Linked DNA regions of Rattus norvegicus. The protein of the gene in region 1 binds, or shares a complex with, the protein of each later gene. Each region holds a gene or a part of one and is shown on either strand. Other genes may lie near its edges. A codon is read from its position in the direction of its gene.

Region 1 (3,812 bases):
CAATAACAAGATCAATAATGATGCATTATTTACTTATTATTACTGTCAACATATAGTCCTCTCTCCCAGTCTAAGAAAACTCAGACTGGAGGGCTAATTACATAGTAAACAATGTAAACAAATGTAAAATAAAGTGTTGTTTTAGTTAGCTTGACTGTCACCATAGTTTATTGATCAGTTTCTTCCCCTAAAATACCTTTCATTAATTTCTTCTGTTTAGCTTTAATGGTCTTCCTGGAGGTAGGGACAATCCCAACTAGTTCAGAACTTCTCTGAAGTCTTTTTGTGAACCCTCATAATTTGTCAGAGACAACCTGTTCAATCAATGACACCATATTTCTGTGGGTTTTTGTGCTCCAAGAAATAGCAGGATAATGGTACTGAGTTTTATGGTGTACTTAGTAATGTGTGCCCCTCCCCCACCTCCATCATGATCTCCTGAAAACTTGTGCTAGCTTACTACATCAGTGGATTCAAATTAAGTTTGATTTCTTAATGGAAGGAAAGTGCAGTGTTTGTTTATGGAACCTCTAGGTAAGATTTACCTCATTCATTGGGTACAGCATTGATACTTCCACTAAGACTTCTTTAACCTTTCATGATGCAGCTGGGTAGGAGAGGCAGATGCTTTCACTACTCTCTGTCTCTTCCGCTGTCAGCATATCAGTTCTCTGACATTGACTGGCCCCATGACTTACTCCTAGATGTCCATGTTAAAAAGATGGCTTTGCTGGGTGACTTCCCTGAACAATTTGGCCTGCTTATAACTAATTCAGAATTATTTACCTTTTAGAGGAGAGACAAAGAACTCGATGATGCCTTGGATGAACTTTCTGACAGTCTTGGACAAAGACAGCCTGATCCAGATGAGAACAAACCACTAGATGATAAAGTAAAGGTAAAAGATCTTCCCTTGCCCTCCACAGAGAAGGAAAAAGACATTGGTATTATCTGGAGGTAGCGAACAGCTAGCCTGCTCCATCTAATTTTCCTGTTTTAGTGCTGTAGGTAATATTTCTCTTTTTCTCACTGATAAATGTTTCTGGAACAGATTCCATTGTAGGAAACATCCTGTTTATGAAATGAAAGCAGAGCTATGTTTTAAGTTTTTTCTCTCCCAATATTTTTTCTTGGTCTTATTTGGAAATAAGGACATACTACCCAAAAGGCATACAATTTTAGTGGATGTACTTTATATTCATAGTGGCAGAGATCACACACCTAGCACAGGTTTCCCCTGCCCCTCTTTTGCAAGCATAACTGAATCTGAATTCAAACTGTGTGTGAGAACTTTGACTCTTCAGAGGTATCTCTAGAAGGACAAAATGAACTGTCTCCTACATGATGTGTACAAACATGTATATTTAAGATAATATTTAACAAGCCATTTCAACTGACTTGATAATATTTTAGAATCAAGAAGTAACTGGAGTGGGGACGATGGCCTTACAACATGAGTACAGTCCTTGGTCATGTAGTGTTAGTATCTGTGATTTCAGCCTGGACAGAGATGGGAGTCACAGACAGGAGAGCTATAAGAAGTCTGTGGATCAGCTAGCCTGTCATGTGCATTGGGAAAACAACAGATCGTATATCAAGCCTAATGAAAGTTGAAAATGACATTAGAGATATACATGCTGTGGCAAGTGCATGTGTATAGGTGTATGCACACAAGTCGTACACATAAGAAAAATAATGAAAATAATAGAAGAAAAGTAATGTAACGAGCATCTGAAACAATGGGACAAAGACAGGACACTGTCATTGTCATTCTATCATTATTATATAAATATTGAGATTAACTTACCATATATTTTAAAACCTAAATTTTAATGCTGCACAGAGGTGTATCCTTACTCCATAGAGACCAGGGAACCTCACAGGTAAAGATACCAGGACGGGTGTGGCTTGCAGCAGGTATGCTCAGGCTTCAGTGTCTCCAGTCTTTCTCCTTTGCAGTGCCTTAAAATGGAGCTATAAATATTATCTGTCTACCAAGGCTTTGGAACCTGACTTTTATTATGTAAAGCAAAATCGAATCAGAAAAATATTTTATCCCTTTGGGCTTTTAACTACCAGTAAGGTTTCTGAGGGTTTCTGTTTGATCCTTTCAGTTGAAAATTCACAAATTTGGCTCACGTATAGAAAAATAAGGAGTCACAATTTTCATCAGCTCTCTGATTATCATCTATTTTGTTGTTCCTTATGTTTTGCTTCATGAAACTATAAAAACTGTAGTTTCTATACTTTGGATTGTAGTTTGTAAGTAAAGAAGGATGTGAACATTCCTTTATCTCTTCAATGTTTGTAGGAAAAAATCAAAGCAGAGCATAGCGAGAAACTGGGAGAAAGAGACGACACCATCCCCCCTGAATATAGGCATCTCCTGGATAATGATGGGAAGGTAAAACTAAGGCAAACAGCCTAGATTAGGTCATTGCTCTCAAACTTTTCAATTATAACTTCCCAGAAACTGAATAGAGGCTGAAGCCGCTATTTATCTAGCAATAAAAGCACATCATGACTGAGTACTTTTAATGTCCCAGAGGTATCAAACAGGCTTTCTTAGCCCTCTGTTGTATCTACTTGAGATGGTCTTATTAGATATTCATGTTTGGGTCCTACCATAAAGACACTTGAATAATACTAGGTATAATGATGATTCCAAGAAATATATAATTAAATTTTTTAAAGAAAAGGCTCTAAAACTGATGGAATCAATGAGATGTCAAAGAAGCAGTCTGTGTGGGGAAAGCAGAGGTGGGATGGTACAAGAACTGAGAGGTCAAATAAACACAACAGCCAACATTCCCTTCTCCACAGGAGCACAAGCAGAAACCTGGAGTGCAGGCAAAACCCTCTCTGGTGGGGTTGGGGATTTAGCTCAGTGGTAGAGTGCTTGCCTAGCTGGGTTCGGTCCTGAAAAAAAAAAAAACCCTCTCTGGAGGCACCAGGTCTATCTCCCCATCACATAGGCCAATCTGACTGCCTCCCCTTATCTGTTTGATTTACAAGAGCTTTAGAGCTGTTAGAAGATGAATCATTCTTCCCAGGTCTGCTCATCAAATGGAAACAAGGGAGTCCAAGTTCCATCAGTATACTCAGATGCCATGGGTATGGCAGGCTCTCCCTGGCCAAAGCCTAGGAGTCCTTGTTCCCTATAAATCTGCCTCCTGCTATCAGTCACCATCCTCTATGTTGATATTGCCACATCTTGTTTGTCATCATTGGAGGAGCTTCATTTATTGCTCTTGCCTTAAGAACTTTGTAAGTTAGTGGTACTTGCAATTCCTGCCTGAAAATAATCTTTAAATTTTTTGAAACTGTAATGAGCATTAGGTGTGGTGGAGGCCTACATCCAGTTATTTGGAAGTATAAAGAAACATTGGAAGTTCATCCTGGGCAACTTAGATTTTGTTTTTTGTTTTAAATGAAACAACAACAAAATAAACAAACTGGAATGTATTAGTCTCTGGGTTCATTCCCAGGACCACCCAACCCAACCAAACAAAAACCCAGGGTATCTGGTGGGAATTCATGATAATACCTGGTACCAGAAAATTCCTACATAGTCTCTGTACTTCCAGAATCAGATCTTTGCATCAAGCTACTGAAATGGCTATGAAAGTGAAGATTTGGTAGAAATCTGGGTTAGGAGCCTAGTTCATCAGTTTTGTATAATAGATGCTCACTCTATGACTGAGTGAACCTAAACAGAACTGTGGTTAACCAAAAAACTACCTTGTTTTCAAGGACAAACCAGAGAAGCCACTGACAAAGAACACAGAGGTAAATACTATAATGTATACTTT
Region 2 (4,490 bases), on another chromosome or scaffold:
GTATTTGTAGGCAGAGGGCAGGGCTTGTGCCAGTGAGTTGAGCCTGAGGTCAGACTGCTTAGTGTGGCAGAGGGGTGTGGCAGAGGGGTGTGGCAGAGGGGTGTGGCAGAGAGGGAATCCACATTAGTCATCACCAAATCATTTATCCGCTCTGGCTTAGATCTGGGTCACCACCCTCTGTGATCCCGCCTTTCAGAGCTTCCAGTTTCGCTAAGGTTAAGTCTTGCTTCCCACACACACAGGCCTGAGCAACAATTAACCTGGCTTGCTCCCAGCAAGCCCTTAGGTGGTGTTAGTGCCATTGCAATTTTGTCCGTTGAGATCTTATTTGACTGATGATCACATTAAATTATTGGAGATTCTTTGAACAGGTAAGGCAGACTGGTTGTTTAACCTCAGTTTACCTATATATAGAATGGGGACAATAACAGCGTCTGTCCCACAGTCCTGCCGCGAGGGCACACAACCTGGTGAGCGCAGAGCACGGAGGAACTGGCAGTTACTTGTCGATATTGCTTAAGGATGGGCAAGAGTAAATGAGCTGAGGGATCGGGGTGAGCTCCTAGCTGAGGGAACAATATGGTGACCTGGGGACTAACAGGAGAGCTGCCATTTTCCCTGTATTTATCACTTAATTCTGGGGCTCATCCAGGGGAACCTGTGTCTAACGTCCTCGAGGGTCTCATGTAGCCGCCCCCACCTCCAAGGGCTGGTGTTACAGGTGTGCGTCATCACGCCTGGCTGTGTTCCCTCCTTACAGATGAGGAAATCATTACTCAGAGACACCAGGTCACTGTTTTAGGGATGAGCAATACAGGCTCAAACCAAGGTTTACATAGTCCCAACGGAGCGGCCAGACAGCCAGACTAGAAGCCAAAAGGCGACCTGGGTGGGAGGCACAAACTGAAGGTAAACTAAAGATTTAGAGTCCTAGCATTGGAGAAGCAGAAGCAGGAGGATTGCTTCGAGTTTGAGGTGAGCCAGGGCTTTAGATCAGCTTAGGGTGTTGAACAAAACTCTATCTCAAAGTGCACGATGAATGAATGAATGACAATAACTGAAGTCCTTTTTTGCAACTATATACTGCAAAGGTGACCAGGTAGCCTGGATCTAGTTCCTGGAGGCTCCAGTGCCTGGGCGTTAGAATGGTCTACTCGTACTCATAGCTATTAAATCTGGAGAGCGTTGAATTACCAGCAGTGTGTGTACGGGGAGGGCTGAGCTAGGTAGAGACACAATCATAGCCCGCTACGTAGGGCGGGGCCTCCTGCGCAGGCGCAGTCTGCAATGGCGGCTCTAGGACCGCGCGGACCGCGGCTGGGTGGCGAGCCGGCTTTAACCCGGAGCTGCCTGAGTCACCGGCCCCGCCCTCCAGAGCCGGACACAGCGGGAGGCCCAGCGGCGGGCGAGCAAGACCGCGGACCGCCGGATCCGTAAGTGAGACGGGGCGCTTCAGTCCAGCACCCCTGCACCCCGCTGCCCGGGATCCGCTGTCCTCAGATCTGGCGAGACCCTAAAGTCGTGGCCTTGGGGGTCTTAGGACCCGTGTTCTCAGATCCGAACAACCAGGCCTGTCAGACGCTGGTCATTCCCTCCAGAGCACTCCTTGCCATCCCGGAACTCAGGATCAAAAATATAACCCCAAAGATCAGAGAGGCACCCATAAATTATCTGGGGCGTCTAGAACCACGATCCGAGATCCTGGTTCCAATTTGCGGTGTGTAGAACTCCGTTATCCGGGATCCTCCGGGCGCACAGCCATAATTTTAGGCCGGAGTCCCACAGATCCCTAATGACAGTGTAGTTCCTCTGTCGAAACTACCTGAATGTCCTAATCCACATTAGGGACTTCCTGGACTCAGCCCTGGGTCACCCCTACCCTGAGCTCAATTCTGGAAGGCCTGGATCTGAGACACGTCCGGTATACCTTACCCAACTGGGGAGTGGGGGTCCTTACATGGGGAATCCCCTGTTTCCCCGCTGCCTCAAGACAGGGGTAATCCAGGCTGGCGCTGTAGCCGAGGTTGGCCTTGAACTGATCCTCCAGCCTCAGCCTCCCAATTTCTGGGATTACAGTTGAGCGCCACCACGCTCGTCCAGCTCTACCCCTGTCCTCATTGACCACGTTTGCAGTCAAGCCTGGGCCAGGGTACCTGCTAGACCCTAGGAGGTTTCGCACCTTCCTGTCACCTGTCCAGATTCTGCCCCCATCCCGAGGCCTCTGTTCTGTCCCCAATCTAATTGCCGGAAATGCTTTCTTTTTTTTTCTTTTTGCGGGAAGGGCTGGGTTCTTGGCAAGACGACTACCTGACCCACCCCCTTTTCTTTACAGGACTCTGCTGCAAACATGTTCTTGGTGAATTCGTTCTTGAAGGGCGGCGGTGGCGGTGGGGGAGGCGGGGGTCTGGGCGGGGGCCTGGGCAATGTGCTCGGAGGCCTGATCAGCGGAGCTGCTGGAGGCGGCGGCGGTGGAGGCGGCGGTGGCGGCATGGGACTGGGAGGAGGTGGCGGAGGCGGTGGAACAGCCATGCGTATCCTGGGCGGAGTCATTAGCGCCATCAGGTAAGGCGGGGCCTAAAGGGGCAGGGTGGGCCAAATTATAAAGAAGCTCACTTAGAGGTCCGACATGGGAATCCTAATTAGGTTGGGCTGGTCCAAACTGGAAAAGTGGCCCTAAGGGGATCCCAACGAGACTGGTGTCACTTTTTAAAAACTGGGTTAGTAAACTTGCTTCTGTGGGTCAATAAATAGGATGCAGTTTCTTGGGGGTGGGGAGGAGGTACTCTTCTGTGTTTGGGGAAGGTATGATCCTATAAGACTGTATCCAGTCTTCACTGGGGGCGGAGCCAGTGGATCTGAAGTTGCTCCATGATTTAAGATTTGACCTAAGTGGAGCTTGCTGTTATAGGAGAGATCAGAACCCCCGAAAGAAGAAATGGTCCAGAGAAGGTTGTGTGGGGTCGGGAGCTGATTGGGTTGGTGGATAAAAATCCTAGCTGGGGTAAGAGCAGGTGACTGACACCTGATTATCTTTGGCGATCCAAGCAGTGATTCCTGGGAGGAGTAGGTGTTGATGGGGGAGAGGTTGGGAAGCTAGATAATCTGCAAAAGGAGCGATGGAGTCAGGCTCTGGACAAAGACCTGACCTGAGGAAGATAGAGGCATAGGGGAAACTGGTGCAGACCGACCCCTTAAGAAGCGAGTTCTTCAAGGGGCGGGCCCTGTTAAGTTTGGTGGGTTTTCGGGATTTTGATTGGGGCTAAGATGCTTCTGACATTGTGATTGGTGGGTGTTCCTGGGGCAAGGTAAGGATTCTTCCGTGGGGTGGGCCCTTGGGAGGTGGGAGGGGTTGGCCTGATGGAGGAAAAGGAGGAGCCGCAGAAAGCTGTTGATTGGGCCAGGTGAGAACGACGAGATAGACGAGAGGAGGAGGGACCCCTTAAGGAAGAGGAGGGCTGGAGTTTGAGGGGTTGACTGACCGTTCTGCCGCCCGTTGGAGGCTCTGCCCCCATGCGCTAACTCACCCTTGTCTCCCCTCAGCGAGGCTGCTGCGCAGTACAACCCGGAGCCCCCGGTAAGCGGCCCTAGAGACCCTTCCTCCCTAGGCCTGTTGCCCGCATTATCTTACCCATTCCTATGTATAAGGCTCCCCTTCCTTCCTTGGAAAATTCCCCTGCCGGCAAGAATGTCCTTTTTGAGGGCCCCTATTGTCTCAGCCACGCTACTTGCTACACTCACCTCAAACTGCCCACCCCTCCCTGACTTTTCCCTGGGATCTTGGGTATGAGGAGAGAGACGTGTTTCTCCACGTCTGTTCTGAAATCGCTTCTCTCTGCAGCCCCCACGTAGCCATTACTCTAATATTGAGGCCAACGAGAGTGAAGAGGAACGTCAGTTCAGGAAACTTTTTGTCCAGCTGGCTGGAGACGTAAGTATACTGCGTGGCTGCTCCACGGTGTTACCTGACTGTGAAAAACCGGAAGTTCCCACCCCGTTTTGTTTTATGGTATCCAGACCTCTTTCCATCTCCCTTGAACCATACTTAACTTCTGCCATCAGGACATGGAGGTCAGCGCTACAGAACTCATGAATATCCTCAACAAGGTCGTGACCCGACGTAAGTGACCAGGGTCAGGGAGTGATGAAGGTGTAGAGGCGTATGGGCTGGGATGATCTTTGACCTCTGACCTTCAACCTGTCCACCCATCTAACCCCCCTCAGACCCAGATCTGAAAACTGATGGGTTCGGCATTGACACTTGTCGGAGCATGGTGGCTGTTATGGATGTATCCTTTTGGGGCCAGTCTGGAGGATGTCTTGGGTGAAGAGGGTGTTTTCTGGGAGTATGTTGAGGACAGACGAGGTGAAGCCTTCATACCTGAGGACACAGGCCTACCTACATGACACCACCAGAACTTTACCTGGATTAGGAGACCCAACCTTTACAGATACCTTGTTAGATAAGGACAATGTAATAGGAAAGGAAACAG

What was found.
Region 2: the proteins of Cast (region 1) and Capns1 are in contact, whole or in part, in a crystal structure (PDB 3BOW), measured with the Rattus norvegicus proteins. Residues at the interface, in NP_445747.2 of Rattus norvegicus: Pro652, Ile653, Asp654, Ala655, Leu656, Ser657, Asp659, Leu660, Asp661; in NP_058814.1 of Rattus norvegicus: Phe103 (codon at 3,896), Leu106 (codon at 3,905), Gln109 (codon at 3,914), Leu110 (codon at 3,917), Ile125 (codon at 4,093), Lys128 (codon at 4,102), Val129 (codon at 4,105), Arg132 (codon at 4,114), His133, Leu136, Phe166, Trp170, Lys174, Gln177, Lys181.

The regions. Positions count from the first base shown.
Region 1 is NC_086020.1:5,715,874-5,719,685, reverse strand, and holds part of Cast (calpastatin), read left to right. Parts: intron 1-793; coding exon 794-898; intron 899-2,311; coding exon 2,312-2,404; intron 2,405-3,753; coding exon 3,754-3,789; intron 3,790-3,812.
Region 2 is NC_086019.1:94,579,127-94,583,616, reverse strand, and holds the start of Capns1 (calpain small subunit 1), read left to right. Parts: upstream 1-1,395; 5' UTR 1,396-1,433; intron 1,434-2,332; 5' UTR 2,333-2,347; coding exon 2,348-2,562; intron 2,563-3,540; coding exon 3,541-3,574; intron 3,575-3,838; coding exon 3,839-3,928; intron 3,929-4,059; coding exon 4,060-4,117; intron 4,118-4,221; coding exon 4,222-4,286; intron 4,287-4,490. UniProt on the Homo sapiens protein: Regulatory subunit of the calcium-regulated non-lysosomal thiol-protease which catalyzes limited proteolysis of substrates involved in cytoskeletal remodeling and signal transduction. Essential for embryonic development.